Linked DNA regions of Sus scrofa. The protein of the gene in region 1 interacts with the protein of each later gene in a pairwise test. Links are inferred from orthologs where the notes say so. Each region holds a gene or a part of one and is shown on either strand. Other genes may lie near its edges.

The links.
Region 2: the proteins of LMNA (region 1) and ZSCAN12 interact in binary tests that used the Homo sapiens proteins (3 or more experiments, as listed by UniProt). The link is inferred for Sus scrofa from reciprocal best matches to the Homo sapiens genes LMNA and ZSCAN12.
Region 3: the proteins of LMNA (region 1) and VAMP4 interact in a two-hybrid assay, tested with the Homo sapiens proteins (2 studies listed by BioGRID and IntAct, with this or other methods). The link is inferred for Sus scrofa from reciprocal best matches to the Homo sapiens genes LMNA and VAMP4.

The regions. Positions count from the first base shown.
Region 1 is NC_010446.5:93,919,921-93,930,838, forward strand, and holds the start of LMNA (prelamin-A/C), read right to left. Parts: upstream 6,365-10,918; 5' UTR 6,262-6,364; intron 1,869-6,261; exon of another isoform or gene 1,242-1,868; intron 495-1,241; exon of another isoform or gene 425-494; intron 1-424.
Region 2 is NC_010449.5:22,196,036-22,206,393, forward strand, and holds part of ZSCAN12 (zinc finger and SCAN domain-containing protein 12), read right to left. Parts: intron 6,838-10,358; coding exon 6,693-6,837; intron 4,459-6,692; coding exon 3,315-4,458; coding exon of another isoform or gene 3,194-3,314; exon of another isoform or gene 2,212-3,193; intron 1-2,211. UniProt on the Homo sapiens protein: May be involved in transcriptional regulation.
Region 3 is NC_010451.4:114,144,368-114,154,725, reverse strand, and holds part of VAMP4 (vesicle-associated membrane protein 4), read left to right. Parts: intron 1-4,160; coding exon 4,161-4,261; intron 4,262-5,183; coding exon 5,184-5,263; intron 5,264-8,592; coding exon 8,593-8,644; intron 8,645-10,358. UniProt on the Homo sapiens protein: Involved in the pathway that functions to remove an inhibitor (probably synaptotagmin-4) of calcium-triggered exocytosis during the maturation of secretory granules.

The DNA.
Region 1 (10,918 bases):
TGCCAGGGTAGGGTGGGGAAGGAAAGCCTGTGTTCCCTGGGGTGGTTGCAGGGAGGGCTACAGCAAAGTTCTGGATCCTGAGTTCCTTTTTACACCCTCAAATTTGGAGGTAGAGACCAGGAGTTTGGGGTCACTCTTTTCCTATCTCCTGCCCCAGTTTAATCTCCCTCCAAGGCTAACCATTGGGTTGTAGACCCGAGGAATAAGCCGCAAACCCCAGAGATGGCCAAGCATATGACCCAGGCACTGCCTCCCTTCCCCTGCTCCCTTCCTCTGGACCCAGGCAACTGGAGAAAGAGACTGCCTAGGTTTCTTCCCACTTCAGTCCCTTTCTGCTCCTCACCCCACCCCGCCAACTCCAGGACTGTACTTTTTTTTTTTTCCAAGACTGTACTTATTTTAATGGATAATTTAAAACAGATACCAGAGCTGTGCATGCATTCATCACACTGCCAGGACACCAGGTTCCAGATTTTTGTGGTTCCCAGAGGGGCCTGAAAGGGGGAGCAGAGCAGGGTGCTGGACAACCAATGCTGGGTCTCCATCCTGCTTTCAGCCAGACACGGGGTTAGGGGGTGGGGGAGCAGGTAGGGACAGCAAAGATTCCCACAACCTCGCTGGCTGCGGGGCCAGCACTGCACTTATCTCTACATTCCTCTCTGGCCAGGTCTGCTTTGCAACTGGCTCTGGGGAGAGGCCAGGCCCTCTCACAAAACAGGATCACCCAAGTTCCCAGGCTTCCCCACCCCAGGCTCTGGAGCTTCTTCCATCCTCAGGACTCACCAAGGAACCCCCCACACACACACTTTGATCAGCCTTCTACTCCCCTCCCCTGATCCTGGCCCTACCAACCATCTCATCCTAAGAGGTGGCAGTGGCTCAGGCTCCCGAACCCATGCACTTTCCTGCCCTGCCCCTGTGCCTCCCACAGCTGATTCTCTGATGAGGAACCTGGGAAATTAAATTATGTTGCTAACTCCTTATAGCTCCAGGATAAACAAGGGAAGCTGAGCTGGACAGGTCCTCTGTTCTGGGTTCTGAAGCTGGCCTCAGAGAGACAAGGGACTGGAGTGGGATGAAGGCAGGACTCAGAGTGTTGGGGGGGGGGATGCTTAGGTTTCCATGGGGGGGGGCTACTGGGCTGTATAGTGAGTATCCAGGAGGCACCCAGTTGAGGGGACCTGAGATAGGGCTTCCCCTCCCTGTAGCCCTCTCCCCGAGGGCGAGGGCGTGGTACCCACCTTCAGTTTCCCAGACAAAACAAAAAGTCTCGTTCTGCTTCTCCCTCTTGTGTTCCCCAAACCAGAAGCAGAGGCGGGGTGGGTGAGCCAGTGAAACATGAGGGACACTGGCTGTTCCCACTGCCTCAGCCCCCCTTCCAGCACGCCCTCTGCCCCACCCAGTCCCTGCCTGGCCAGGCTTCCCCTCCTGGCTGGGGAAGCAAAACCACACTTAACCCTTCCTATCCCGGACCTCCCCATCTTTGGAGAAAAGAGGCAGGAGAAAGGAGGGGGGATCTTACCCTAAATTTCACTTTAGGTTGTTTCCAAAGGGTGCCCCCACCACTACCACCACCATGGCCTCAATCCTAAACCTGAACTTCAAAGTGGGCCTTTATCTTGAATATTCAATCCTAACTCTGAATCCCAAAGATTCCTCTGCCTTCCTCCTGCCAGGGTGTAGATCACCAGTCCCTGAAGAAGCAGGAGAGAGCAGGGAAGGCAGGTTCAGAGGACACGAGGACACCAGCCTCCTGGGGGTGAGGATGGTGGGAGTTGTGACTGGGTGGAGACCAGGTTCCAATCCTGCCTCTCACTTACTATGTAGTGACAGATCTGCTACTGAATGCTCTGGGCCTCATCTGTCTCATGTCTTATCGAAGACATGGGGGTTGGGCTACTATGTTTGCTCTCAAGGGAGGTGCCCACTGGTAGGGAAAAGAGGGTGAGGGGGGGTGGAAAAATCAAGCACAGGTGGTTTAAAGGGCAGCATAGAACCCTGAACTGGAAAATGAATTCCAAATGGATTCCAGAAGTGTGGGAGCTGGAACATTAATAAGTGATATCAGAAAATAGTGGTTGAGTCCAAGGGGTGGTTTGGAGTCAGGGCCCTACTCTGTTTCCATAGCATCCTGGGCCTCCCCCTATGACCCTTCCTCCCAAAAGTGCTATGAAGGACAGGAGGGACCAGGGCCTGGCTATCTGTGTCCCTAACACCTGGCCCAGTGCCTGGCATACAGGAGGTGCTCAGTGTGTCTTAAATGAACAAATGTATTTGGCCTTGCCATTTTTGGGGTGAGTGATTTTGGGTGAGTTTTCCCCTTTCACTCAACCTCAGTTTCCTTGTGTATAAAATGGGGATGCTGCAACAATTAAGTAACATGCATTTTTGTGTTTTTTTAATTTTCTTTTCTTTTTTTTTTTTTTTTTTTTTTTTTTTTGCTGCGCCAGGACACTTGAAGTTCCTGGGCCAGGGATCAGAACCGAGCCACAGTTGTAACCAAGAGCTGTGGCAACACTGGATCCTTAACCCACCATGCCAGACTGGATTGAACCTGTGTCCCAGCACTGCAGAGACACCAGCAGATCCCGCTGTACCACAGCAAGAACACCAATTAACATGCATTTAAAGGGAGGCTTCTTGGAGTTCCCATCGTGGCTCAGTGGTTAGCAAATCAGACTGGGAACCATGAGGTTGCAAGTTCGATCCCTGGCCTCACTCAGTGGGTTAAGCATCCAGTATTGCCATGAGCTGCGGTGTAGGTTGCCGATTCGACTCGGATCCCGAGTTCTATGGCTCTGGTGTAGGCCAGCAGCTGCAGCTCTGATTAGACCCCTAGCCTGGGAACCTCCATATGCTGCGGGAGCAGCCCTAGAAATGGCAAACAAGCACACACACACACACACACACACACACACACACACGCAAACACACAAAGAAATAAAGGGAAGCTTCTTGCATTCCCTGGTGGCCTAGGAGTAAAGGATCCTAGTGGCATTGTCACTGTTGTAGCACAGGTTCAATCCCTGCCCTTGGAATTTCCACATGCTGTTGATGTGGCAGGAAAGAAAGGAAAAAAGGAAGGTAGGTAGGTTTTTTGGAGGAGGTAGGTTTAAGAGTTTACAGGAGAATTCACTCATCCAACAAACATTTATTGGACACCTGCTGTATATGAGGCACTGCTCTACTCACTAGGTATACAGCAGTAACTCATGGAGCTGACATCCTAGTGGAGGGAGATGGTCCATAAATAAAAGACAAAATTTATAATCTGTTAGAAGATGGTGAGGGCTATGAAAATAAAATGGGACAATGCTTGGAGTTCCCGTTGTGGCGCAGTGGTTAACGAATCCAACTAGGAACCATGAGGTTGCAGGTTCAATCCCTGGCCTTGTTCAGTGGGTTAAGGATCCGGCGTTGCCATGAGCTGTGGTGCAGGTTGCAGACGCAGCTCAGATCCCACATTGCTGTGGCCCTGGCGTAGGCTGGTGGCTACAGCTCCAATTCGACCCCTAGCCTGGGACCCACCATAGGGAGCAGCCCTAGGAAAGGCAAAAAAAGACAAAAAAAAAAAAAAGGGACAATGCTCAATAAACTGGGTGACTTATACCTTGATGCTCTTTACAGCTGCAAGTTTTCACATACATTCTCATCTTGGTTCCCAAACCACCTCATAGACTGGAGAACATGTCCCTGTTTTACAGCTGAGGCTGACATTCCCAAAACCAGACAGTAAGCGAGAGGCCAAGCTCAGAACTCGGACCAGGCTGCCTGCTCCAGGACTTCTTCACTATCTTATGCCACTTTGTCAGGACACGTGGGAGGAGCGGGGGTGGACTGGTGCTGGGGGAGGAAGTCTGTGCAGAGGTTGTGAGGCGGGAAAGAGCTGAGGGTGCACAGCTGAGCTGAGCAGGGAGACACTGGAGGTGAGGCAGGAGGAGAGGCAGGATGGGAGAAGGGGGAGATGGAGGCAGCCTCCTGCCTGGTTTGGGGACGGGGGTCTGAGGGAAAGGATTCTGGCTGCTCAATAAGGAGAGGAGGGAGGCATTGAGACCAGCGAGGAAGGAGTCAGAGGCACAGGCCTTGGCAAGAGGCAAGCTAAACGGAGCGGGCTCAGCAGAAGGGTGCAGCCAGGAGGGATTCCAGAGGCATTCTAATAATGATTTGTGTAGGGAGGATGTGTGGAGTAACTACTATTATTAGACACTAGGTATTTGCGTGACTTTGTTGAACCTATGCAATAGATCTATAAGGTAAACACTACTATTAGTCCTATTTTACAGATGGGGACACTGAAGTCTAAGGAGGTTAAATTATTCATCTAAGGCAGGGTTTCTCAAAGCTGGCACTCTTGACATTTTAGGCCAGATAATTCTTTGCTGTGAGGGGTGGGTCTAAGCATATGGGATGTTTTGCTGTATCCCTAGCCCTCTGCCCCCAGTTATGACAATCAAAAATGTCTTCAGAAGGTGCCAAATGTCTCCTGTGGGGCAAAATCACATCCAGTTGAGAAACACTTGTATAAGGTCATATGATTAGTAGCAGAACTGGGATTGTGATACAGGTGGGCCTGCTCTGAAAGCCAAGCACTTAGCTGTCAGGCTGTAATTCTGGACAGGTAGGAGTGGGAGAGAGGAGGATTCCAGTGGGACCTAGGCCATTGGGAGACAGTTATACGCCCCCACAGGGGTGGGAAGGGGTGACTCTTTGGGAGAGGGTCTAGGAAATAGGGGGTGATTTGGAGAGTCAAGGCTATGGTTTGGGAATCCCTTTATAATGTTTCTGGGTTGGTTTTTTTTTTTTTTTTTTTTGTCTTTTTAGGGCAACAGCCACAGCATATGGAGGTTCCCAGGCTAGGGGTCCTATTGGAGCTGTAGCTGCTGGCCTACACCACAGCCACAGCCATGCCAGATCTGAGCCACGTCTGCAACCTGCACCACAGCTCACAGCAGCGATGGATTACCTTAACCCACTGAGCGAAGCCAGGGATCAAACTTGCATCCCTATGGATACTAGTCAGGTTTGTTTCCCCTGAGCCACAACAGGAACTCCCTAGAGTGCTTGGAGGGAGGGTCCCTGTCTTATTCATTCTTTGATCACAGGGTCAAGTACTAAACACCTGTTGAACTGCTGAGTCACTCCTGCACAGGTGGTATGGAAGGACCTGGCTGTTCTTTAAGTAGCTGCCACATACCAGGCACTGGGCTAGGGGCCATGTGGGGCTGATCCCACTTCATCTTGACTTCAGCCTTATGAGGAAGGTATTATTATCTGCATTTTATATACCAAAAACCCAAACTCCGAGAAGTTGACTAATTGACCTAAGATAGTCCAGCTGAGTAACTGCCTTCTTCCCATCCGGACCCAGCTAGATGGAATGATGCAGGCTTAGAACAATTAGCTTGGCTTAGTTTAGCTGGGAAGGCCCTCAGAAGGAGCGTGTTTGATGGCCTTTTGTAAAGCCAGTGAACCCCTCATTTGAATGAAATTTCACCCCAAAAGCCCAATATACTAAATGACAGAGGCAGAGTCTCTCTAGCAGGGAAGTTTAGGGACCCCTGCCTGGTGATCCTTTGCCCCTCCCCTAAGAGGCCCCCAGGGCTCTGAGAATTAAACCCCTCTCTTTACAAAGTGGGCTTCTCAGGCTGGAGAAGCTAAGATTTGCCCAAACACAGCCAGAAACCCCCAAATAGTACTCGGACCCTATTTCACACTACTGTAGGAGACAGGACATCACTCTGGACATACTGGAAGGGGCTAATCGACCTCAAGGGATGGGCATTATCGCTACCATGATGAGGCAGGGGTTGCAGGGGTCAGTGTAGGGCTGGCTATCTTCCCTGGGTGCTCCAGCCAGGCCAGACAGGGCCGCTAGATAATGAGCACAGAACCAACCCTTTACACTTCACATTTGGCTGGGCAGGTCTCCCAGGTGTCATCTTTTCACAATCCAGATTACTACCTTAACCCTCTCAAACCTCTCTGAGATGCACAAAGCAAACACCATGATGCCCATTATACAGATACGGAGATTGAGACTTGGGCCAGGTTAACTGATATGCTCCAGGCCACACAACAAGAGACAGAAGCAGGTCCCAAACTCCAGGGATTTGCCTCCAGGTTAACTACATCCCACCTCCCTTCAGTCCAGACCCCAAAGGAGCTCCATCCAACAGCAAAATCCGAGAGTCTGCCCAGGAGTCCCTGCCCGACATTCCAAACCCCATCCCCCACTCAAATGGGCCCAGAGAGCCGCCCCACCTGTGAGCCTCAGGCTTCCTGGAACCGTCACAATACACACCAAAATACTGCCACGGTACACACCAGACAAGAGCCAAAGAGGAATTCCGCAGTGACTTCGTCCTCTCTGCTCCCTATCTCCCAGCTTTGGCCCCGCCCCACCTGGTGAGGGTGGGGGAGGGGAGGTAGACGTAGGAAGGGGCGGGGCCCCGGAGACGTGGGCGGAGCCAAGGGGACGGGGCTTGTTCCCTCCAGGGCAGATCGGTTCGGGCTGGTAGGGCGACTCCGGACTCCGGCGGGGTGGTTCCTCTCCCGCCCCCCCGCCCCCGCCGCCCGGAGGCGGGCAGTGCTGACGGCTGGTTCTGACGCAGGCGCCTGCGTGTGGGCGGCTGCCTGTGAGTCTGTGTGTGTCTGTGTGTGTGTGGTTGCCGGGGCCTCCCGGGTCTCCTAAATGGGGGTTTCCTCTCCCTGTTGCCAAGGAAACAAACAGAAGCGCCACAACTCCAGAACTGGGGCCGGCGAAAAGGGTCCCCAAGCCCTAGGCGCCGAGAGGCTTCCAGGAAGTGAGGCAGAAAAGGATCCCTGTTTCCCCCCCCACCCCCAGTCCAGGTGCTGAGCAAACGTTACCCAATGTGGGGCCTGAAACTAGTGGCCACCTGTCCTGTTTGCAGAGCACTGAGGAGTTTCCTAGGACAAGGGCCTTGCAGTGCTCAAACCCGAACAGTTCCTGGCAAAACCGGACAGTTGGTCTTCCTAAGTGTCCATCCAATTTTTGTGGGGAGGCTCTATCTTAAAAATATGAGAATATCTTTTACAGATTTCACACAGATAAGTGAACACGTGGAAACCTGGTCAGGCTCCTCTAAGGGTCTTGGGAAGGCCTGTGCCACTGTGGATCCCTGAGCTTCACCTTGCTTAGCCTCACCATAAAACCAACCTGGGTTCCCAGCCCCTGCAGCCCCTAAGTTCCTCAGGGTCCCCTTCCAAGGCTAGCCCTTGGCACTCACCCCAGGGAGGTCAACTGGGAAAGCAAATTCTCCCCGGGGAGGATGGTGGTTAATCTGCAGGAGATTTCCTGATGGGGGAACAGATCAAAGGGCACTTCTGGATTAGTGGCGGCCACGTGTGGCAGGTGGATGGGCAGGGCCTTGGCCAAGGTCAGGAGCTCCTGGAGGGAGACTCCATGGGATGGAAGGGACTGCCTTGGGCCAGTGCTTCATCAGTCATTGCTTAGAAGCCAGAACTTCAGAGCTGGGAGGAGTCTAAGGACATCATGCAAGCCAACCCCCTCCTTTCTAGACCTGCCTTGATCCAGCTCCCCAGATTCCCCTGTCCCACTATCCCTATGCCAGCCCACAGGCTAGCCCCAGAGTAACACCCCAATTGCCCTCTTTGTCTAGTAAATCCAAAGCTTACAGGGCTCCCTGAGAGCCCACTTCACTTTGGCCCTTGACCCCTGAGTGGCAGGTAATGGGGGAGCCACTGGAGCAGCGGTAGGGCAGCAGGGACCTGGCTGGGAGGGACAGGATGCACGAGTGGCCTGAGGCTGGTGTGCTCTCAGGCTGCCCAGGGAGGGGCCAAGAGGGCATCTGTTTCCTCTTGGCCATGATTCCCTCAATCCCATCCCCAAAGGAGGTGAAAATGGGGCTGGCTTCCTGAAGCGGAGCTTCCTGGCCTTGGCGGGGAGGATGGATGGGACGTCCTCAAAACATCCCGCATGCCCTCTCCTCTCCCTGCCTGGAGCTCGGCACAGCTGAACTAAGGCTTCGGGGTGGGGGCAGAGAGGTGAGGTCTGGGGTTCAGTGAGCACAGCGATGTACCAGAAGCCACAGTCAGGCTCAACTCCCAGGGGGTGCGGGGGGCGGGGGAGGGTAGAGGCAGGGGACTGGTCTGGCTCAGAGGGGGGGCTTCACTCAGGTACTTTAGTGGAGGATGCATGAGAGAGAGTTGATCACAGAGGGCAAATGGGGATGAAGGGAGAGATAAGAGTGGGTAGAGGAGTTCCCGTCATGGCGCAGTGGCTAACGAATCCGACTAGGAACCATGAGGTGGCGGGTTCGGTCCCTGCCCTTGCTCAGTGGGTTAACGATCCGGCGTTGCCGTGAGCTGTGGTGTAGATTGCAGACGCGGCTCGGATCCTGAGTTGCTGTGGCTCTGGCGTAGGCTGGTGGCTACAGCTCTGATTCGACCCCTAGCCTGGGAACCTCCATATGCCGCGGGAGTGGCTCACGTAAAGGCAAAAAGACCAAACAAAACAAAACAAAACAAAAAAAAGAGTGGGTAGAGGGAGGAGGTTGGAGAGAAAGTCTACTATGAGGGAGAAAGAACTGAGCTTTGAGGTAACTGGGGGGAGTCCGGACCAGGGGATCCAGGAGCAGAGAGCTGGGCAGAGGGGAGGCACAGGAATTGAGGAGAGGGGCAGCTGCCTGGGGCTGACACCAGCAATCCAGCCCCAGCTCCTGGTGGGGCAAATATTTACCCAGCAACAGTTGCTAAGCAAGGAGGAAGGAGGAGGGAGACCAGTAGCTAGAAGGCTTTCCAGACTCCTCCCTCATAAAAGACAAAAAAAAAAAAAAAAAAAAAAAAAAAAAGGGTGAGCCATTATGTTCTCCTCAGCCCTTCACCCCCACCGAGCAGGCTCCTCGCACACATATCTGTGGGGTCACCCCTCCTACTTCCCCCCCACCCCCACCCCAGGCCAACCCAAGCTCATAGCAGGACAGAAGGTTGGGCTAGGGAAAACTTAATCCCCAGGCAACCAGGACTTCCCCCTACCCTGGGACAGCTCTGGGGGCTCAAACCTTGCAAAATTCCTCCTTCCCAATCTGCTGTTCAAGGGGGGGCTGGAGAGGGGGGCAGGTCCAAGAAGTCAGGATACGGTGAGGGAGGGGGTGCTGAAGGACCCAGTCAAGATGTCCAGGGGATGAAGGCTGGAAGAGAGGATGAGGAGACTGAAAGGAAGGGAAGGGGTGACTATGTTAGAGGCTGTGAAAGGGCAGGCGGTGTGGTGGAGGTGGGGGGTGGGGTGGGGGGGGTGGCTGATGGACCCAAAGAAGTGAAGTTCTCATGGGTCCTTCCGGTTCTGGCCTCTGGGCAGAGGAGGAGAAGGGACAAAGGAGGGGAGGGTGTGCTCAAGTGGAGCCAGATGTGGCCCATGTGATGTGGGCTGTCGCTGGCATGGGCACAGTGGGGGCAGGATGTTCAACAACTACCAGGAAAAATTAGTCAGAAGCTGGGAGGGGACAGCTAGTCCAGGACCCCCGAGGCAGCAGAGGGAGCTTTGGGGGAGGGTAGAAGGGCTCAGGGCTCCCCCCCACCATCACCCTCAGGATTCCCACCCATTTTCTTGGCTGAGCCTGGGTTCCCACAGGCAGATTGGACATCCTGATGCTTCCCAGGGCAGATGCCGGGAGCTCAGCTCAGAGCCCGGCACACAAGAGGCGTTTTGTTCCTTACCCACCTCCTCAGGATGAGGTCTCTGCTCTGCAGGGCTGCTCCCTGGGGGCCAGGGGGTTCTCCCCCTCAACCACAGGCACTCCGGAAACTGGGGTGCAGAAATGGGAGGGAAGGGCACAAAGAAGAAGCTGCCTTGGCAGAGAAGAGAGTCCTGGAACCTGGCCTCCCTGGTGCTGCCAGAGGTGCTCGAGGGTCGAAGCGTTGGTCAGAGTGGCTGCAGGCCCCATGGGTCCACCCTGAAATGGAGGCAGACAGAGGAGCCATCACTGTGACACAACACCAGAGGCAACGCCGAAGCGCCACCCCAGGAGGGACCTCCCTTAGCCCAGACGCAGCATGAGCCAGCCTGGAGGGAGAAGGGCTAGGGGACCCCAGGAAATAAAGCAGACCTGAAGGGTGGGTCGGGGTGCAGCCCTGGAGAAAGCAACCCCAGGGACCCTTGGAGAGCCAGGTCCAAGCTGGCAACCAACCGAAAGGGGGTTGCTTTCCAAGCTCCCATTGGAAAGTTTGAAAAATACACATGGAAGCATGACTCACTGCCCCCTCCCCACGGCCCCCCTTTCCTGGTTTCTATGCTTTTTCTCCCAAGAGTTAATTCAAATCACATTCTCACAGAAACCAGATTTAATGAGGGAGGGCAGAGAGCAGGCTGAGGAGGCAGAGCGGCCCCACGGGAAGGGTCTAGAAACAGAGATGGTTCCTGGGGCAGAGGGTGCGGTCACCCGTCCGCTGGGGAAACACCTCATGTCGGGGGAGAGTTCAGCTTCCAAACACTTAGGTGGTCACGCGAAGGGAGGAAGCAGAACTCATTCACACACACAACCACCGCCGCCCGAAACTGCAGTGTGGCCACCGCCACACCCAGTGGCCCTGTGTAGCCCAACCCAGAGAGCTTGCCTTCTGGCCTCCTCCTTGGAATCTGTCAGCCAGGGCCAAGCGGCCTGGGGCGGTGGGAGTGGACGCAGAGCTACCTGAACTCACCGCCTTCACTGCTCCTCCCCCCAAAACCCGTGTCCTGGGGCTGGCACGGGGGCAACTCTCTCCCTTCAGGCTGGGGAGGGGGGGTGCTCCAGGCAGGCCTGCCCCAGGGGGGCCTCTGGGACAGGAATTCCCAGTCTGTGCAGGCAGGTGAGGCCGGGGAAAAGGGGAGCCTGGCACTGGACCAAAGGTGAGGAGCCCTTCCAATCCTGAGAGTCCTTGGAAGAGGCCTCCAACGATTCCC
Region 2 (10,358 bases), on another chromosome or scaffold:
CATAGGCTACAGAGCTCTCAGGCTCAGTTTTGGGATCCTTCCCGGATATAAAAAATCAGCTGCCTCATTGCTCTGTGCATGCAATCCAATGTTGGTCTTATGAAAAAGCCTAAATTAACAGTCCTCAACTTGTGACTTGTTTTTCAAATGTTCATTTGCTTTCCTATGTTGTGAACTCAGAATGTTTTCCCACAGTCAATGTACATTCTAATCCCCAAAGCCAATTTAACACATAATATGCCTCAATGATAGTACTAATACCATTATCATTTTTATAGGAAAATGTATTCACAATTATAACTTAGAAAGCTAGGAAAATATGTATTTCTACAAGACTAAGGACTCTTCTGGTTCCAAGCCAGTGCTGATATTTTTATGTCCTTTATAAGGACTATGGACAGAGGGGTTACTGACAGGGGTACTAGAGAGATGGGGAGATGGGATAGACAGGCCTAGGCAGAAAGGTAGTTAAGAGTAAAGAATAGTGATATCCGGAGTTCCCATTGTGGCGCAGTGGTTAACGAATCCGACTAGGAACCATGAAGTTGCGGGTTCGATCCCTGCCCTTGCTCAGTGGGTTAACGATCCGGCATTGCCGTGAGCTGTGGTGTAGGTTGCAGACGTGGCTCGGATCCCGTGTTGCTGTGGCTCTGGCGTAGGCCGGTGGCTACAGCTCCGATTGGACCCCTAGCCTGGGAACCTCCATATGCCGCGGGAGCGGCCCAAGAAATAGCAAAAAGACAAAAAAAAAAAAAAAAAAGAATAGTGATATCCTTCATTTTTCTCCCCTTCCTCTTCTGTCACGTCTCAGCACTTCGAACCCACTGACCAGCTAAAGGTGAGGGGTGATAAGGGGACTGAAGTTGTGTGAGACAGGGTGGGAACGTAGTCCTAGAAATTGAGGAGTTGGCTGTGGCAAGGAAGAAAGGCAAAGAAATAAAAGGTTATCTCAGCAGAGATCAAATAGGATTTCTGTAAATAAAAAGATAAATAGACCAGGAGCTATGTGTACTTCTTTGTGGCTTGCCTATTATCCACTACAGTAATCATCACATGTTCTCATCAAAAAAGAACTGTTTACACAGTAACACAGACATAATGTCAACCAGTTTTTTTTTTTTTCCCCTGAAGCACCAAGGGAAAGACTCACTAATCTTTGGCTCTTTTATGGGTTCAAGAAGGTATACAAAACAAAAAATTGTAAACCACTTCTCAAGAGAAATAATTAGGGAATTCAAAACACGATGATAACTAAAGAGGTGGGGGGGGAGTACCAGCACTTCTGCCCTAACTAGAGAGACACACACAGACACACGCACACACAGGCCTTGCACTCACAAGACCCTTAGGAGCCTTGGAATGTAGGTCAGTCTCTCTTTTTGAAACATTTAAATTTGAAGGGACAGAAAGGCCATCTTAAAGCCCTAGTCTTTAAGTATGATGGCTAATTCCCTGTTCACTCTAAAGAGCTGGTGGACATGGCCCCTGAAAGGCTTTCCTTACGCTAAAAATTTGTGGTGGTCTGTGTTCATGCTTCCTTATTTCACTGGCAACCACACAGGCAGCAGTGACTTAAAAAGATGCTTCTCAAATTTTAGAGTACATCAGGTGACTATGGAGCCATACGAATGAAGATTCTTAATCTCCATCCCAGACCTAATGACACATAATATCTGTGAGTAGGACTCCGGTATTTTAAACAAGCTCCACAGGTGATTTTGACTTTGTTCACTGATGTTGAGGAATCACTATGTAATGAACAGAACTTGAAATCAGAAACCTGCACTGAAGAGCTGATGGTCTTTTCCTTTGTGTGATATTGTAGCTATGTTACCATCTCCATAGCAGAGTATCCTCATTTTTCCTCTGCGTTATTCATTCTGCTGTTCAATGCCTTTAGCCCAGCTTTCATCTCGGCAAATGAATTTTTTTTTTTTTTTTGTCTTTTTTTTTTTTGCTATTTCTTGGGCCGCTCCCGCGGCATATGGAGGTTCCCAGGCTAGGGGTCCAATCGGAGCTGTAGCTGCCAGCCTACGCCAGAGCCACAGCAACGGGGATCCGAGCCGCGTCTGCAACCTACACCACAGCTCATGGCAACGCCGGATCCTTAACCCACTGAGCAAGGGCAGGGATCGAACCCGCAACCTCATGGTTCTTAGTCGGATTCGTTAACCACTGCGCCACGACGGGAACTCCTCGGCAAATGAATTTTTAAATTTTTCTTGGCTCCTCCTTAGAGTTTCTAGTGAGGGTACCCTCATTTTTAAAAACAGAGAATAATTTATAGAAACATTTTTAGGAATTAAAAAAGTGCTCTTTAAGTCTCAAAATATTAGGTGAAATTACTGGTATCTAACTCTCCCAGAGTTCCCACACAACACTTTTACACCATCAACTTCCCAAATGAAAGAACTCTCTACTTTAGGTTGGCTAGTCTTGTCATGGATGCTTACAAACCACATGCACTTTGTTTACATTTATTCTGCCCTAAATGTTTTCTGCCTTTTGCCTCCCAAATATCCCCATCCAACTCTTATCTTCAATAAAATCTTTTTCTTTTTAGGATTGCTCCTGCGCCATATGGAAGTTCCCAGGCTAGGTGTCAAATTGGAGCTGCAGCTGCTGGTCTACACCACAGCCACAGCAAAACCAGATCCGAGCTGTATCTGCGACCTATGCCGCAGCTTGCAGCAACACCAGCTCTTTAACCCACTGAGAGAGGCCAGGGACAGGACCTGTATCCTCGTGGATAAAGTCGGATTCTTAACCCTGCTGAGCCACAACAGGAACTCTTTCGATAAAATCTTTCCTGACTGTTTCAGGCAACAGTGATCTGTCCCTCAGAATTTATAGTACTTACTGTTTGCCAAATGCCACTTTAATTCTATCCTACTTCAAACATCAATTCTTCAGTCCTACGTCTCATTTAACTAAATAGGTGGACCTTATACATCTTTAAACTAGACTGTAAACTCTTTAAGAAAAGGAATCTGGCATTATGCTCCTTGTTCTCCACCTCCAGAGCAACTAATAAAATGGGAAGCACATAGTGGATTTTTTATAAAGTAGCTGAGGTTTCCTTATGGAATTAGTGACTAACGTTTTGTCCTAAATCATTTCAAAGCTAGTCTCTCTCCAGCCTGCACTCTATGAGTTAGCTTGCCTGCAGTCATCACACAGAACCAGATTCTTCTCATTTGTGAGTGGTCTGATGTTGAGTAAGAGCTGAGTTCTGCCTGAACGACTCCCCACACTCTTCCCATTTATAGGGACCACCTCTATTACAGATTCTCTGGTGTTTACCAAGATCTGACCTCTGTCTGAAGGCTTTGCCACATTCATCACATTGGTAGGGTTTCTCCCCAGTGTGGATTCTCTGATGTTGGATCAGACTGGTGATTCCTCGGAAGGCATTCCCACACTCATCACACTTATAGGGTCTCTCTCCAGTGTGGATTCTCTGATGTTCTGTGAGGACTGATCTTTGAGTGAAAGCCTTTCCACATGTGTCACATTTATAGGGTCTCTCTCCAGTATGAATTCGCTGATGTTCTATAAGACTTGTCCTCTGAATAAAGGCTTTTCCACAAACATCACATTTGTAGGGTTTCTCCCCAGTATGGATTCTCTGATGCTGTATAAGGCCACTCTGACTGAAGGATTTCCCACATTCCTTACACTGATAGCATTTTTCTTTGTGGTGGATCTCCTGATGGGAGACGAGGGAGGAGTTATAAACAAAGGCTTTTCCACATTCATTGCACTCATAGGGCTTTGCCCCAGTATGAACTCCTTGATGCTGGGTAAGAATTGAACGTCGACTAAAACTTTTATTACACTGAGTGCAATGGTAAGGTTTGTCTCTTGTGTGGATCTTTAGATGGTGAAAAAGGCCTGCTTTCTGACTAAAGGCTTTGCCACATTCATTACAATGGTAGTGCTTCTCTCCTGTATGAAGTCTCTGATGCTGATTAAGAGCTGACCACCGGCCAAAGGCTTTGCCACACTCATTACATTTGTATGGCTTCTCTCCAGTGTGTATTACCTTGTGTCGAATAAGCACAGTTCGCCCACGGAAAGTTTTTCCACATTCTTCGCATTTGTAGGGCCTGTCTCCAGTATGGATCCTCTGATGTTCTAGAAGGCGTGAGTGCTGACTAAAAGCTTTTCCACAGTCATCACACTCATAAAGTTTTTCTCCTGGACAGACTCTCTGCTGTTCAGGACGGTCAGAGTTCTCAGTCAAACTTACTCCATTTTCATGACATGTATCTTCCCTGGAGTATCCGGAAGGCTCTTCTGTTTTTTCTTGAGGTTCACAAGTTTTCTCATACCCAGTAGATTGAGCTATTTCATTTTCAAATTTGCTAGATATATTCCCATATGATTTCATTTCTTCAGAAACTTCTTGCTTTGGAGTTAAATTCCTGTACTCATTTCCAGTATCAACATCTGAAACTAAAAATGGATCATAAATGTTAGCCAGTTTTTTATGATAGCAAACAGCAACTTCAACAGGTAACATAAAATTACTCAAACAAAAATTACCTAAGAACCTAGGAGTTCCCATTGTGGCTCAGGTGGTTGAGCCAGCTAATACCCATGAGGATGTGGGCTCGATCGATCCCTGGCCTTGCTCAGTGGGTTAAGGATCCAGCATTGCTATGAGCTGTGGTGTAGGTCACAGACACAGCTTGGATCCCACGATGCTGTGCCTGTGGTGTAGGCCGGCAGCTACAGCTCCAATGGGATGACCCCAAGCCTGGGAACTCCCATATGCCACAGGTGTGGTCCTAAAAGGCAAAAAAGGAAAGAAAGAAAGAAAACTGCCTAAGAACCTAGAGTTCCTGGAGTTCTACTGTGGCACAGTGGGTTAAGGATCCAGGACCGTCACTGAAATGGCTTGAGTCACTGCTGTGGCACAGGTTCAATCCCCGGCCAGGGAACTTCCACATGCCTTGGATGTAGCCAAAAAGGAAAAAAAAAAAAAAAAATGGCATTAGAATACAGGACAGACTAATGAAAAGCACTCCAAAAACTATTAAGGAAAAGACCAATAATCCAATAGAAAACTGGACAAAGAAAAAATTGATGGTTTCTGGGAAAGGATATACAAGAGCTCTTAAACACAAGAAAAGATGCTCTACCTCACAGCAAGTGAAAAGAAAATTTAAAAACAATATTGCGAGTTCCTGTTGTGGCTCAGTGGAAACGCACCTGACTAGTATCCATGAGGATGCGGGTTTGATCCCTGGCCTGGGAACTTCCACAAGCTGGGGGGGCAGCTGAAAAAAGAAAAAAATAAATAAAAATAGTTGTGATTGATGTTATTAAAAAAATATTGAGTATAATTTTCACCCATGAGACCTGCCATCAACTTTTTTGCTCTTTAGGGCCGCACCCACGGCATATGGAGGTTCCCAGGCTAGGGGTTGAATCAGAGCTACAGCTGCTGGCCTACGCCCAGCAACCCAGGATCCGAGCCGAGTCTGCAACCTACACCACAGCTCACAGCAACGCCAGATCCTTAACCCACTGAGCAAGGCCAGGGATCGAACCCGCAACCTCATGGTCCCTAATCTGATTCCTTTCTGCTGTACCACAACAGGAACTCCTACCATCAGCTTGATGTTAACGCTGTCTTCATGAAATGGATTATCACACATTGCCAGTGGGAGTATAAATTGTTCCAAACTTTATAGTGGGCACTTCGACAATATCTATCAAATTACAAATGCATATAACTTTGACCTAGTAATTCCACATATAGGAATTTATGTTACAGATATACTCACATATATGGCTATTCAACAGAGCACTGTTATAATAAAAGACTAGGGCCACCTTAAATGTCATCAGCAGGGGAATGAATTAAGTTATTTTGTGTGGTACAGCCACACATTCTAATATTAAGCAGCTATAAAGCAAAAAAGGCAAAATTCTACAATTTTTGTGATAGGAAAATAAAGCTGAATATGAAAAATGTACACATATGCATAAAGAAACCTCTAGGACATACAAGAAACTAATAATGGTGACAACTTATTTCAGAATAGGAATAGGAGATCAAATGGCTAGGGAAATTGAATGGAATGAAAGAAAACTTTTCACTGGATAACTTGGTTTTGAACCATGTGAATTTTCATTCACTTAAAAAAATTAAATAAAAAAAAAAGAGCAAGTAGAACAAAGGAAGATGTAGTCTTTCATCCCTTCACCAGCTTTTAACATTCTATCACATTTGCTTTTTTACTCCTTCTCTGCATAAGAATACACACACACATATATCTTTTCCCCTAGACCATCTGAGCATTCATTAACTACAGATATTATGGGGCAAAGGTTATCATTTACTGAAGGAGGCAGGAAACAGTAATATTGGAAGACAGAGGTATTATCTGGTAGGATAAAGGCTAAAAATAGCAGGAAGCTCAGTACAGAGGAAAATATCAGAAGGACTAAATTAAGTGATCTCAAAATTACAGCCAGAAATTAGGAAAATATTAATATAAAGAGAAAAACAGAGTTGGAGAATGACAACCTAGGCTGCCTGAGGTCTACGCATGAGCTGTCAGATTCCTGGAGACTGTCTTGACTTTGATAATCAGAAACAGCATGAAGTACAAAAAAGCCCCAGTGTCCTGTGTTAGCTGCATCTTCCCTTCCTCCCAAGATGGGTCTTTCCTCTTTACCTTGCTCCTGCTGGGCTTCAAGGTCCGGAGATTCACACTTTAGCTGGACTTTCACGGATGGGAGAGACATACCGGGTTCTTGTTCTGATCCTAGAGGTGCCACCTCCTGCAAGAACATTTCCTGTTCCTCAGTGTGAACTGAGACCTGAGGTAAATGAGATACAGCTGAGAGACTCACTCTGATAACATTAAACGAAAGAGTATGCTATTCATGGCAGCAGTACCCAGCTCACTGAAACTTGAAATTAACTTCTTTGCAGACATCAGTCAGCCAATGTAAGTATCACCTCCTCTGGGCTAACTTCCCTTCCCCAGCTGGAATTCCCCCCACTCCTTTTTTTTTTTTTTTTTTTTTTGTCTTTTTGCCATTTCTTGGGCCACTCCTGCAGCATACACTGGGATCCCAGCCACCTCTGCAACCTATACCACAGCTCACTGCAACGCCAGATCCTTAACCCACTGAGCAAGGCCAGGGATCAAACACACAACCTCATGGTTCCTAGTCGGATTCGTTAACCACTGCGCTACGACGGGAACTCCCCCCTAGTCCTTTTTTAAAAAAGCTTATGGCCACACCTGGGCACATGGAAGTTCCCGGGCCAGGGTATTGAATCTGAGCCATAGCTGTGGCAACACCAGAACCTTTAACCCACTGCTCCAGTTCTAGGGATGGAACCTGGGCCTTACTGAGCAGAACCTCTGCATGCAGTCAGATTCTTAAGTCATTGTGCCACCTGGTGGAGGAATGACCAACTCCCCACTATTCTTTTTTTTCTTTTTTAAAGGGCCAGTGTGGTATATGGAAATTCCCAGGCCAGGGGTAGAATCAGAGCTGTGGGCACAGGCCTACACCACAGCAACTCAGGATCTGAGCCTCGCCTGCAACCTACACCACAGCTCACAGCACCACCAGATTCTTAACCTACTGAGCAAGGCCAGGAGTGGAACCCGTGTCCTCATGGATACTCGTCAAGTTCATTACCACTGAGCCACATCAGGAGCTCCCTCCTCCTCTAAATAGGTAAAATATGTCGGCTGTGCCACCTTCATTTCTTTGTCTATGCTCAAAGAATTGGAGAAGGAAAGAAGAGAAAGAAAAAAGGTAAAAAGAGACAGGAGGGGGAAAAAGTGGGAAATAAAACAAGTGAGAAATAAGGAAAAGGGATAAGAAAAGTGAAATACTGGAGAGAAACTGTGAAGAAAGGCAGAAGGGAACAAAGGAGAAAGAGGAAGGAAACAGAGAAGAAGAAGCAAGAAGAAAGAGGAAAGGAAAAGGAGAGAAATCTCTTCCATATTCTCTCCAGAAGCTGTTCCTAAGGTCTCCACTCCTTTCTGGGAAGGTGATCTTATTTTTTATTTATCCAAAATCATGATCACCTCAAAAATCATCTCCTATTCACTTTATCTCCACTCTCATACTCTTCCTCCCTTTTAACTCAGAGAAAGATGTGTTTTCTTTTTCGAGGTTCACATCTCTACTTTTGCCTTAAATCCTATCCCTTTCTGCTTCCCTCTGACCCTTGCTACTTCAATCAGCAATTTCAGCCATTCTGTAGCTTCCATTCTTCCACGGGCCCATTCTCGCTTGGCTTTAAAAATAGTAGGTTTCCCCAGCACAGTTGTCATAAAAAGCAGGGCTCTGGAATCACTCTAATTCCTTTCTCTGTTTCTTGGTTTAGTAGCTCGGTGACCTTGGGTGAGTTACTTGCTCTGAGATTATACATCATATATGTAAAGCACTTTCCATAGGGCCTTGCATATGACAGGCCCTTAAATTACTTCCCTCATCCCCTTCAATGGCTAAATTTTATAACTCAGAAATCACCACATACTGGCTCTATTTCCCTGACAGTTTCATTTTGTGATCTCTCAAAATACGAGGCGAAAGGCAGCAGAATACTATCCTCAAATGTACAGAAAAAGATGTTTTGATACTTCAAATTTGGGTTAGGGAGGCACGAAAAACAGGCAGTCCAGTGAACTGTCTTCTATCTCTGGATCCCTAGCTAGGCTGCATAGGTCAAGCAGTAAGCTCCATTAGTGCCCCCAGCAAGCCTCATGGGAAAGGAGTGCTTGGCAACACTCAACAGGTCTAAAACCAAACATACTCAACATGTCAAAACCAAATGCTTTTGCCTCTGAGAACCCCGTTGTTTTTTCTCCTGGGCCAGGGATTAGACTCGTACCACAGGAGTGACAGCACCTGATCCCCCAAACGCTGGGCCACCAGGGAACTCCTGAGAATCCCATTCTTTCGTTTCTCTTCCGATCTCCCTGGCTACTCCTCAGCTTCCACTGCTGATTAATCCCTTGATGATCCCCTATTGTCTCATGGTTTAAATATCATCCATATCTTTTCTAATTTTCTATTTTTTTTCTTTCTTTTTTTTGGGGGGGGGGAGCATACCTCCAGCATATGGAAATTCCCAGGTTAGGGGCTAAATAGGAGGTGCAGCTGCTGACCTAAAACCACAACTACAGCAGTGCCAGATTCGAGCTGCATCTGCAGCTTGCAGCAATGCCAGATCCTTAACCAACTGAGCGAGGTCAGGGATTGAACCTGCAACCTCATGGATACTAGTCAGGTTCTTAACCCGCTGAGCCACAACAGGAACTCCCCCAATTTTATATTTCGAGCACAGATTCCTCCCATTGCATCCCAACTTGTTATAGCCAGTTGCTTGCTCACATTTTCCACTTGGATTCTAATGAGAATCTCAAAATTAACTCATCCAAGGCTTAATTCTGGATTCTTGTCTCTCTCCTCCAAACCTATTTCTCTCCCAATTTTCACCATCTCAGTGAATGACAAACCCATTCCACCAGATGTTCAGACCAAAAACCTTGGCATAATCTTTAATTCACTTTCTCTTATATCCCACAACCTATAAAAAAAAAAAATTCCTCTGAAGCTCTACCTTCAAAATATATACAAAATCCAATCACATCTCACCACTTCCACTGCTACTGCTACTATGCTAGTCCAAGCCAGGATGCGCTTATAGCCATAGCCTTCTGGTCTCCCTGCTTCTGCTTTTGACCCCTATGTCTCCCCTACTCTACTCCACTCCCCCAACCCCCCCATCCCCACCACCACCAGCACCAGTGTAGAATGTTCCCAACACAATAAGTAGCTAGAGTGATGTTAAAATTTAAGTCAGATTAAATCTCTCTTCCCCTCATCTCTCCAGTGACTTTCCATCTCAGAACAAAATCCAAATTCCTCACAATGGCCTACAAGTCCGTTGTTGGTTTGAGCTCCATATAACTATTTGATTTTATCCTTTACTTGATAAATGCATCTCTATCATGAAAAGCGCATTTGAATCTTAAAGACCTATCCATTAACAATTTCCTCTGTCTGAACACTCTTATCCTATGGCTGCGTGGCTTGCTCTTTTAATTCAGATCTCCGTTCTAAATGTCACCCTATCTGAAAAGCCTTCCCTGATTAGTCAATTGCAAATAGCACAATCCTAATTTCATTCACTATTCTTTTTCTCTGTTTTATTGGTTTTTTTTTTCTGGGTTCGTTTTTTCTTTTTTTTTTTTTTTAGAGCCACACCTGCAGCACAAGAAAGTTCCCAGGCTAGGGGTTGAATAGAGCTGCAGCTGCCAGCTTGCACCATACCCACAGCAACATGGGATCCGAGCCTTGTCTGTGAC
Region 3 (10,358 bases), on another chromosome or scaffold:
TAGTTTGCATCTACTAACCCCAAACTCCAAGTCCATCCCGCTCCCTCCCACCTCCCCCTCGGCAATCACAGGTCTGTTTTCTGTGTCCCTGAGCTTGTTTCTATTTTGTAGATAGGTTCATTGGTGCCATATTCGAGATTCCACATGTACATGATATCATATGGTATTTGTCTTTCTCTTTCTGACTTACTTCATACTGACTTATGACTTCAGCATGACTTTCTCATACTTAGTATGATAATCTGTTTGCATCCATGCTGCTGCAAATCACATTTTGTTCTTTTTCGTGGCTGAGTAGTATTCCATTGTATATGTACCACATCTTCTTAATCCATTCATCTGTTGAAAGACGTTTAGGTTGTTTCCATGTCTTGGCTATTGTGAATAGTGCTGCTATGAACATACAGGTTCATGTATCCTTCTGAATTATAATTTTGTCTGGATATATGCCCAGGATTGCTGCATCATATGATAGTTGTATTTTTAGTTTTCTGAAGAACCTTCATACTGTTCTCCATAGTAGTTGTACCAATTTACATTCCCACCAACAATGTAGGAGGGTTTCCTTTTCTCCACACCCTCTCCAGCATTTGTTATTTGTAGAGCACTATGATCTTGATGCTATCTCTGTCCAGGCTGGATTCATCTGGGCTACACAACTGGTACTATGGGCTTCCTGCTCCTATAGCATTTAACATGATAGTATAGTGCTAGCTACTGGTCTTCTCCGCTAGACTGTAGTCTTGCTGAGGATCAGGCTCATAACATTCACATTGGTATCCTCAGTGAAAACATAATAACCCTTTAGTAAATATTTTTGAATAAATGAAATACCTAATTCAAATCAGAAAATATTTGTCAAATGCCAGTTTTCTGCTAGGCACATTTCACATGACCTGGGAAACAGGTTAGTGGGACAGTCTCTGTTTTTAAGGTATGATGGTATAATAATGAGGATAAGATCAACATAAAATACTGAGAGAAATCAAAGTATTGTAACTGCTGTGAAAATATAAACGATCATGGGGAAATACATGTTTTTACACTTAAAAAAAATTACACTAAAGAAGTAGATAATTTTCTTTTTTTCTATAAAAGTTATGTTCTGGGCATGGAAATATCTGAAAATATAGAAGCACAGTCATGAGATTATATATCATCTTATGATTGAATGAGGGTTATACATTAGCTGGATTAAGCATGTTACACCACTGGATAGTAATACGTGAAGGAGGAAATAACAGTATTTTATTAATCACTTGGTAGAAAAATTAAGATGCTGGATGCTCCCCATTAGCCTAAAAGATTTATTACATGTGTGTCATGTTATTGAGGTAATACCCCTAGGTTTATGATATTCTAGTAAGAATTTGGAATTTTATGAGTTCTGTTCTAATCAATCTGCCTATAATTGTGTAGTCTTTACTTATAGGGATCTGGGACCATAATTATTCCTTCAGCTATTCTACTTTTGTTTTAAAATCACATGTAGAATAGATATATTAATACCTGTAATAGCTAGTATCTGATCACGTGTAGGAGCTGCAGTACATTTTGTCCATTTCCACCCTGCTGTGCCTTACTTTAGGCTATTATCTCTTGTATGTGATGGAAAATAACTACTTGAGAATGTCAAGATTGGCCTTTGATGAACAATAGCTCTGCTTCCATTATAGTTAAATGGAGACTTCTGTATTCACTGCCTCATATTTGTTTCTCAAGTAGCTGGGTATGATTTGCAGGACTTATACCCAAATTGTTCTCTTATTCAGCAGCTATATATGGAGTATATATCTGTCCCAAGCAATGTTGCAGGTACTGGAGCTACGAAAGTGAGAAAATAGGCAGTCTCTGCATTGTTGAGCCTTAGCATTTAACACTAAGTGCAAGTATTTATTTATTTACATGCTTATTTCCTGTTTCCCCTCACCTCCATACACCGCAGGTGCAGCCCTGAAAAAAAAATTTAAAAATATAAAATTATTTATTGAATAAATTGATTAGTTGCTTCAGTATTTGTCCCATTATTCTTTTTTTTTTTTTTTTTTTTTTTTTTGGTCTTTGCCAGGGCCACACCTGCAGCATATGGAGGTTCCGAGGCTAGGGGTCCAATTGGAGCTGTAGCCGACGGCCTACACCAGAGTCACAGCAGTGCGGGATCTGAGCCGCGTCTGCAACCTACACCACAGCCCATGGCAATGCCGGATCCTTAACCCACTGAGTGAGGCCAGGGATCGAACCCGCAACCTCATGGTTCCTAATCGGATTCCTTAACCACTGAGCCACTACAGGAACTCCTGTCCCATTATTCTTGTATAAGATTTTACATCTTTAGCTCTCTGCCACGGAGTTGCAATAAGATATCTTAGGAATTCAGGGGCTGTTTCAGATCTGTTTGGGCAGAAGACAGTTCATCTCCTAGCTTGGTTACACTTCAGTTTTATACACTTCAGTAGTAGATTTTGTGGGAGGCACAGAACTCTAGGAAGCTATGATGAACCCTGAAGTCTATGTGCAGATCATCAGTGGGTGTACATAATGCTTTTAATATAAGAGGGAGGTGACTATCACCAAACATAGTAACTGCTTCTTGAATCTGAGAATAGTTCTGAAACTGTCTAAATGGGCCTTCATTTTGTTTTTAAAGCAAAGGGTTTTTTTGTTTTGTTTTTTATCTTTTGTCTTTTTAGGGCCGCACCTGTGGCATATGGAGGTTCTCAGGCTAGGGGTCTAATAGGAGCTACAGCTACCGACCTCCACCACAGCCACAGCAATGCCAGATCCAAGCCATGTCTGTGACTGACCTACACCACAGCTCACAGCAATGCTGGGTCCTTAACCCACTGAGTGAAGCCAGGGATCAAACCTGCAACCTCATGGTTCCTAGTCAGATTCGTTTCCACTGCGCCACGACGAGAACTCCTAAAGCAAAGGTTTTGAAGATATAGCTTCATGATAGGAAAGGGATAGAACTCTTTCAAAATTACACATGACCATGCCTCACCCCCAACTCAGTTGGTTAGTTGGAGGAGTAATATAGAGGGCCATGAGGAGCTGTGCACTATGAAATCCCTAGGTGATAATTGACAAATTGACACACTTCCCCAACTAGAAAGGACAATTGCATATTCTAGTTTATTTAAAACATATATATTTATTTATATAGTTGCTAGTAATCCACTTTAAACAGTTTTTAATTTTAAAGTTTTTATTATGACAGTTGTAAGAACTGTGAGTTCATTTAATTTTTTTCCTTTTAAATATTTCACTGGAAACAAAGATACAAATCCACACAAAAAATAAATATTTCACTGGCATGACTTATTTCATAAACTAATTTTAAGGTAACATTTTGTCTAATGATTGAAGCAACAAATGGCAACTAGACACTTAAATAATTCAAAATTTCTATGTTTGTGTACTCTAGGGGCAACTTGTGAGAGAGAGTAGGCAGCTGAGAACCAATTATTAAAATTTTGAATTTAGAATAAATCTTCATTGGACATCCTGAAGTTTGGTTATAACAGGCTCTAATCACCTACTATAAAGGAGAAAATCATTTTTTCATTTTGAAGAACAACAAAAAAATATTTCCTATTTGCTTCTTCATGAGCGCTTCAGTACCTTCCAGAGTGGTGGTTATTGTCTTAAACTCTATTTAAGAGGAAACCCATGAGTGTACCCAATGAGTGTAGTATCCTAGAACACATTGTACCTTTCCATTTTGAAAACTAAATATTTTTTATAGGCTTCTTACATTCCTGGGCAAGTTTTTGTATTAGCCTTAGTGTATGACCTGCATGTATAGCTGTGTCTATGTGGTGTCTCAACGGCCTGTTGAAAAGAAGATGAAACATTACTTAGAGTCAAGCTATTTGACTAAATTCTATAGTTACTGAGCATTCTGACAGTGCATTTAATTTGCAGAAATGGCCAAGAATAAACTTTAAGTTAAATATTGCTTTTATTTATATCATATTATCTTTTAATTGCCTGAGTACTCAAGCACTCAAATGGAAGGAACATTGCTACAAGTCTTAACCTTTTTAGAGTTTAATAATTCTGGGAACTTACTTTTTCTATCATATCTAATGAAAATATCAAAAGTTGTAAAATTTACAGAAGAGAAATAAATTATATTTAATCTTTTTTTAAACTAGTGTTCAGAATCAGGTGGATGAAGTCATTGATGTCATGCAAGAAAATATTACAAAGGTAATTGAAAGAGGGGAGAGACTAGATGAACTACAGGACAAATCAGGTACAGACTCTTCATATATTTCTTGATATTATTAATCTGTGTTTTGATAATTCTCCCACTTTTCTAGCCAAAGTTTGGGAATCTTGACATGGGAAAAAGGGCATTTATGATTTTAATGTTTTAACTTAAGTTCCCTTTACTTTGAATTATCTTGTTGTATTTCTTTAATCGATCAATTGAGAATGGAAAAATTAAAAGTTCATTGTTGAAGAGTTAAAGAGTATTTTTTTTGTTTTGTCCTATTATGTTCCTGTCCTTTCTCCTGATCTCAAGGACAGGTCTAATCACTTCTTTTCAACACTTATGTTAAACTTATTCTCATATGCTTTCTCTGGCAGCTTAGCAACCTTTCTTTACTCACTAATGTTAGTCTTTGACTTATAACAATTCCTGGCATTTATTGGGCATTCACATATTGTTTAAATGACGAATGGCTGAATGAATATCTGAGTAATCTTTGGTAGACTTGTGTAACCAAAAAACCTATTTAACCACTTTTTAAAATTCATATTGTTTTGCTTCAAAATCATTCATTTTTGGTATCTTCTAAGCATCTAGCCTTCTCCATGTATAAATTTTTTTTCTATAGATGTGCCAAGTGTTTGAATTTCTAAAGAGTATTTTCTGCCATAATTCATAAATTTATTTGAAAGTGGTGAGGCCCTGGGAAGACTTCTCTTACTCTTTTTGTAAAAGTGGATTGAGCAAACTAACCTACAGCCACTTTTTTTTGCTTTTTGGTTTTTTTCTAGACTAAAGAATGCCAGAGTTTGTGAGTGCAGGAGAGAAAAGATACTGTTTTTGTGCTTAAAAGGGAATAGATTTGCAGAAGTAGAAATTAATATTTTTTATCTTTGTGTGACTATATAAAAGACGCCTGTTAGGTCATTTAATCCTTCTCTTCATTCTCTATGTGATATAGAAAGCTTATCGGATAATGCAACAGCTTTTAGCAACAGATCCAAACAACTTCGAAGGCAAATGTGGTGGCGCGGATGCAAAGTAAGTAAATCAGAAGATGTTGGATAGGTTGCTGCATATCCAGTGGTACTCAAAGACATAAAGAAGAAAGGGCCTTTCTACATTCTGTGAGGACGGGTCCTATAACTGTCTTGCTTCTTAGTATATCTTCTGAACCTGGGACACAGTGGGTGCTCAGTAAATATTTGTTGAATTAATACCTTTTAAGACAGAAATAACTAAAGAAATCAAGTAATGCCTAAAAGGATGTTTTTGTAGATTTCTTCACAGAGAGTAATCCACATTTTATCAATAATTTAGCTACCTCTAGACTTACCGTGTAAGAAATATTATAATTTATTATTAGTATCTTTTTGGAACAACCTATAGCATTACATAGAGTTATTTAAAACATAGACTGCGAGTTCCCATCATGGCTTGGTGGTTAATGAACCTGACTAGTATCCATGAGGATGCAGGTTCGATCGCTGGCCTCACTCAGTGGGTTAAGGATCTGGCATTGCTGTGAGCTGTGGTGTGGGTCGCAGATGAGGCTTGGATCTGGCATTGTTGTGGCAGCATAGGCCAGCAGCTGTAGCTGTGATTCGACCCCTAGCCTGGGAACCTTCATATGCCATGGATGTGGCCCTAAAAAGACAAAAATAAATAAATAAAAGGTAGAATGCAACTTGAGAAAAATAAAATTTTCATTTGAAAAGGGTTGAAAAAGTAAATCCAGTTTATATGTCAGAATCCACATGGCAAATGGAGCTTAAAAAATCCCACTGTCCTGTTATTCCAAATAAGATATAAAAGAAAAATTTGTAACAAGGAAAACAATGGGAATCTTTATATGCTAATACATTCCTATAAAACATTTTATACAAATGAATTTACTCCTTAAATCAAGTACGGCTACTAATTATTAAACAGAAAACTATTTCTCTTAAGATTTCATAGCAAATTTCATGTCATATAAGCAGATCTTTTCTTTTTCCTCCTGGAACTGTGTATCATTTTTGGCTTTGTTGAAAATCTTAGATATAACTCATTGTTTTTAGTCTCTCATTTTCAAGTTTAGCAATAATTTTCAAAACTTGATGATATGCTAAGGACTTCTTCCAAGAGTTGCCTTGGATTTATTCAGTTTTGTTTATCTGTTTAACTCACTTACTTTCAGAAATAGAACATGGGGAAAGAAACAATTCTCTCATCTAGAATTTAAATTTTCTACTTTCTTTAGTGAATAAATTTTCTATCGTGGAGACTAGATTGCAAGAACAAAAGGTCCACGAGCCATTCACCTTCTCTCCCCATATTCCCATTAATAAAATAATGTGCATTTTGCCTGGTCATATCTAAAGATTTTCACTTTATACTTTATGGGGTCCAGATCAAAGAAATAGTATACTTTTAAGGGGAAAAGTTGAATTATATCCTTAATTTATACTTATAAATAGTCTCTGTATCACTACCATATTCCAGATTAAGTTATGCTTATTTAGGAAGGGCTAATGAAAGTGATATAGGGACAGGAAAAAGATCAGAGGTTGCCCAGGGCTAAAGGTGGAGGGGTAGAGATTGACTATAGCAGGGCATGAGAGCACTTTTTGGAGTGATGAAAGAGTCTTCTGTTTGACTGTGGTGGTGGTGGTTGATAATTACATGTTTGTCAAAATGCATCAAAATGAACTTTTTTTTTTTCTTTCCTGGGGCTGCACCCGCGGCACATGGAGATTCCCAGGCTAGGGGTCTAATCAGACCTGTAGCTGCTGGCCTATACCAGAGCCACAGCAGCAGGGGATCCAAGCCGCCTCTTCGACCTACACCACAGCTCACAGCAATGCCAGATCCCTAACCCACTGAGCAAGGGCAGGGATCGAACCCGCAGCCTCATGGTTCCTAGTCAGATTTGTTAACCACTGAGCCACGACGGGAACTCCCCTCAAAATGAACTTTAAAAGAGTGAATTTTATTCTATGTAAAGTATGTTCAATAAACCCAACTTTAAAAATAAATGATGGAGTTCCTGTGGTGGCTCAGTGGTTAATGAACCTGACTAGCATCCATGAGGACACGGGTTTGATCCCTGGCTTCACTCAGTGGGTTAGGATCTGGCATTGCTGTGAGCTGTGGTGTAGGTTACCGATGTGGCTCGGATCCCGAGTTGCTATGGCTGTGGCATAGACTAGCGGCTACAGCTCCAATTGGATCCCTAGCCTGGGAACCTCCATATGCTGTGGGTGCGGCCCTAAAAAAGACAAGACAAAAAAATAAGTGAACAAAATTATCCAACAGGTGGGGAGAATCACTGACACTTAACTATCTTAGGAGGCTCTGAGGCTCTTGTATGTTTAATGAGAAACAGATTTTTGTCCATGTCCTTTGGAAGAAGAGCGCTTTGGTCATGCATGAATATGTAACTGGCATTTTTGATTGTAAACATTTCCTGGCCAGTGTTTGAGACTTTATTTACTGAGGTGTTTTAAAATTAATATTGATATTTCCATCTAAATCTTTTAAATGTTAAGTCTAGCACAGATTAACAGGGCAAATTAATATATTTTTTGGTAATGTTGAAAAACTGCTATGCAATTCCAAATTTAGAAATGTTTTCAGTTTTTTTAAAAAATGCAAGTCTTCCACATATTCTCTGAATCGCTTTGTCACTAAAGATCACTTTGTCACTTGATAATATAATGTGGACCTAGACACCTATGGGAAATGTACCTCCTCTATCCATCTGATCTGAATCTGTTTCTACACTTTTTGGATACCATAAATAATAATTTTAATAGGCACCTGATATTCAAATTGCAAAGCTTCCATTTAATCTGTTTTTTGTTCTTGTCATGAATGTAATGGCACTAAAATTTCTCCAGTAGTTCTATTTTAGAAACATTTCATTAGCTACTCCTAGTTGCTGTTTGTGATACTCATCAGATTGTTTCCTGTGTTAATAATAATTGGGTGTCTTTTTTCTGATTGAACCATCTTGAATCGATTATCTCTGAAAATGTTTGATAAAAACAGGCTTTCATTTGAATTCATCAGGAAAATCAAATGAAATAATTTATGCATTTTAGGATTAAATGAGGAATGTGACAATTTTATAGAGAGAGGATGTGAACCTAAAGTGTTAAGTAGCTAAGGACTAATCTTAAGTTTTCTCTCTTAACTGGGGAACTGACACACAGTGCTCTTAGGCAACTTATTTATTAAATGAAGTTATTTATGAAGAATCTAAATTTGGAAACCTTTTAAGGGGTGAACCTGTCCACTGATGAGTTAGTGTAATATGGTAAATAGCACAACAGTCTTTATTAACAAGTCAAACATTCATCTTTCTTATGCATTTTTGTGTGTTGTAGATAAAAGCCATCATGGCTTTGGTTGCTGCTATCCTTTTGTTAGTGATTATCAGTAAGTATTTACTGGATTATTAATTTTGGGGGGTATCATTTGTTTTGAAGTTTACCTAAATTTCCTTTTTATTTTCAGTTGACTTAGTATGACTAATATTAGGATTGAGTGATGACTTCTGACCCAGTCAGGAGCTCTTAAACTAAATCTATAGCTCTCTGGAAACAATATGTAAAATTTTATGTGAATATGCATATGTACATTTTTATGGGAGAAAGTATGTCTTTCATCAGATACTCAAAGAGCACCCCTGTCCTACCCTCAACCCCAGTCCCCAAAACGCAGGGCTCAGTGATTGAGGCCAAATATGTTTACTATTATGCTCAGGACCAAATACTCATTTTCCATTTATTAACGTTTAGGTATGGCAGATTGAATTTTGCAATATTGTGTTTGAAGAAAAATCCAGATAACTTCTCCAGATGATAGTTTTTTCTTGAAGTAGTTGATTGATAGTGTTGTGTTAATTTCTGCTATACAGCAAAGTTACTCAGATGTACACATGCAGTCTTTTTTGAAAATATTCTTTTCCATTATAGTTTATCACAGGACATTGAATCTAGTTCTCTGTGCTGTGTAGTAGGATCTTGTTGATTATCCCCTTCATATATAATAGTTTACGTCTGCTAACCCCACCCTCCCACTCCATCCCTCCCGAAGCCCTCTCCACCTTGGCAACCACAAGTTTGTTCTCTGAGTCTGTGAGTCTGTTTCATACATAGGTTCTTTTGTATCATTTTTTAAATTCTACAAGTGGTATCATGTGATATTTGTCTTTCTCCTTCTGACTGACTTCACTAGCATGATAATCTTTAGTTCCATCCAGGCTGCTTTAAATAGCACTATTTTGGGGGTGTTTTGGCTGGGTAGTATTCCATTGTCCATGTGTACCACATCTTCTTTATCCATTCACTCCAGATGATAATTTTTATTGTAGATTTGAGCTTCATTTCAGTCATTAAAGCATAACTCTTGCCCCTTTTTTCCTTAATATTCTTTTTAAAATATCATTTAAAAATTTTTATTGCAATTAATTTATAATATTGTGTTAGTTTCAGGTATATAGCAAAGTGATTAAGAGCACTGATTCAGAATCAGATTACTGATTCAGCTCAGTGATTTTTTCACACATTTTCCATTATAGATTAGCACAGAACTATATTCAATATCTTATAATATACAGTAAATTCTTGTTGGTTATCTATTTTACGTATAGTAGTTTGTATCCGTTAATCGAATACTCCTAATCTGTCCTCCCCTCCTCCCTTTCTCCTTTGCTAACGATAAATTTTTCTTGACTGTGAGACTTTCTGTTTTGTATTATAGATGCATTTGTGTTACTTTTTAGATTCCACATGTAAGTGCTATTACATTCGTCTTTCTCTGGTTGGATCACTTTTAATGTCTCCTTTTCTCTAAAGCTGCTTTATCTGTGTTTACAGAGATTTCTTTTTCTTTGTTTTTGTTTCCATTTTATGGTCACACCTGCAGCATTATGGAAGTTCCCAGACAAGGGGTCAAATCAGAGCTGCAGCTGCCAGCCTACACCACGGCCACAGCAATGCAGGATCTGAGCCACTTCTGCGACCTACACCACAGCTCACACCACCACCAGATCCTTAATTCACTGAGCAAAGTCACAGACACCAGTTGGTTTCTTAATCTACTGAGCCACAGTGGAAACTCCTATTGAGATTTTTTTTTTTAAGATTTG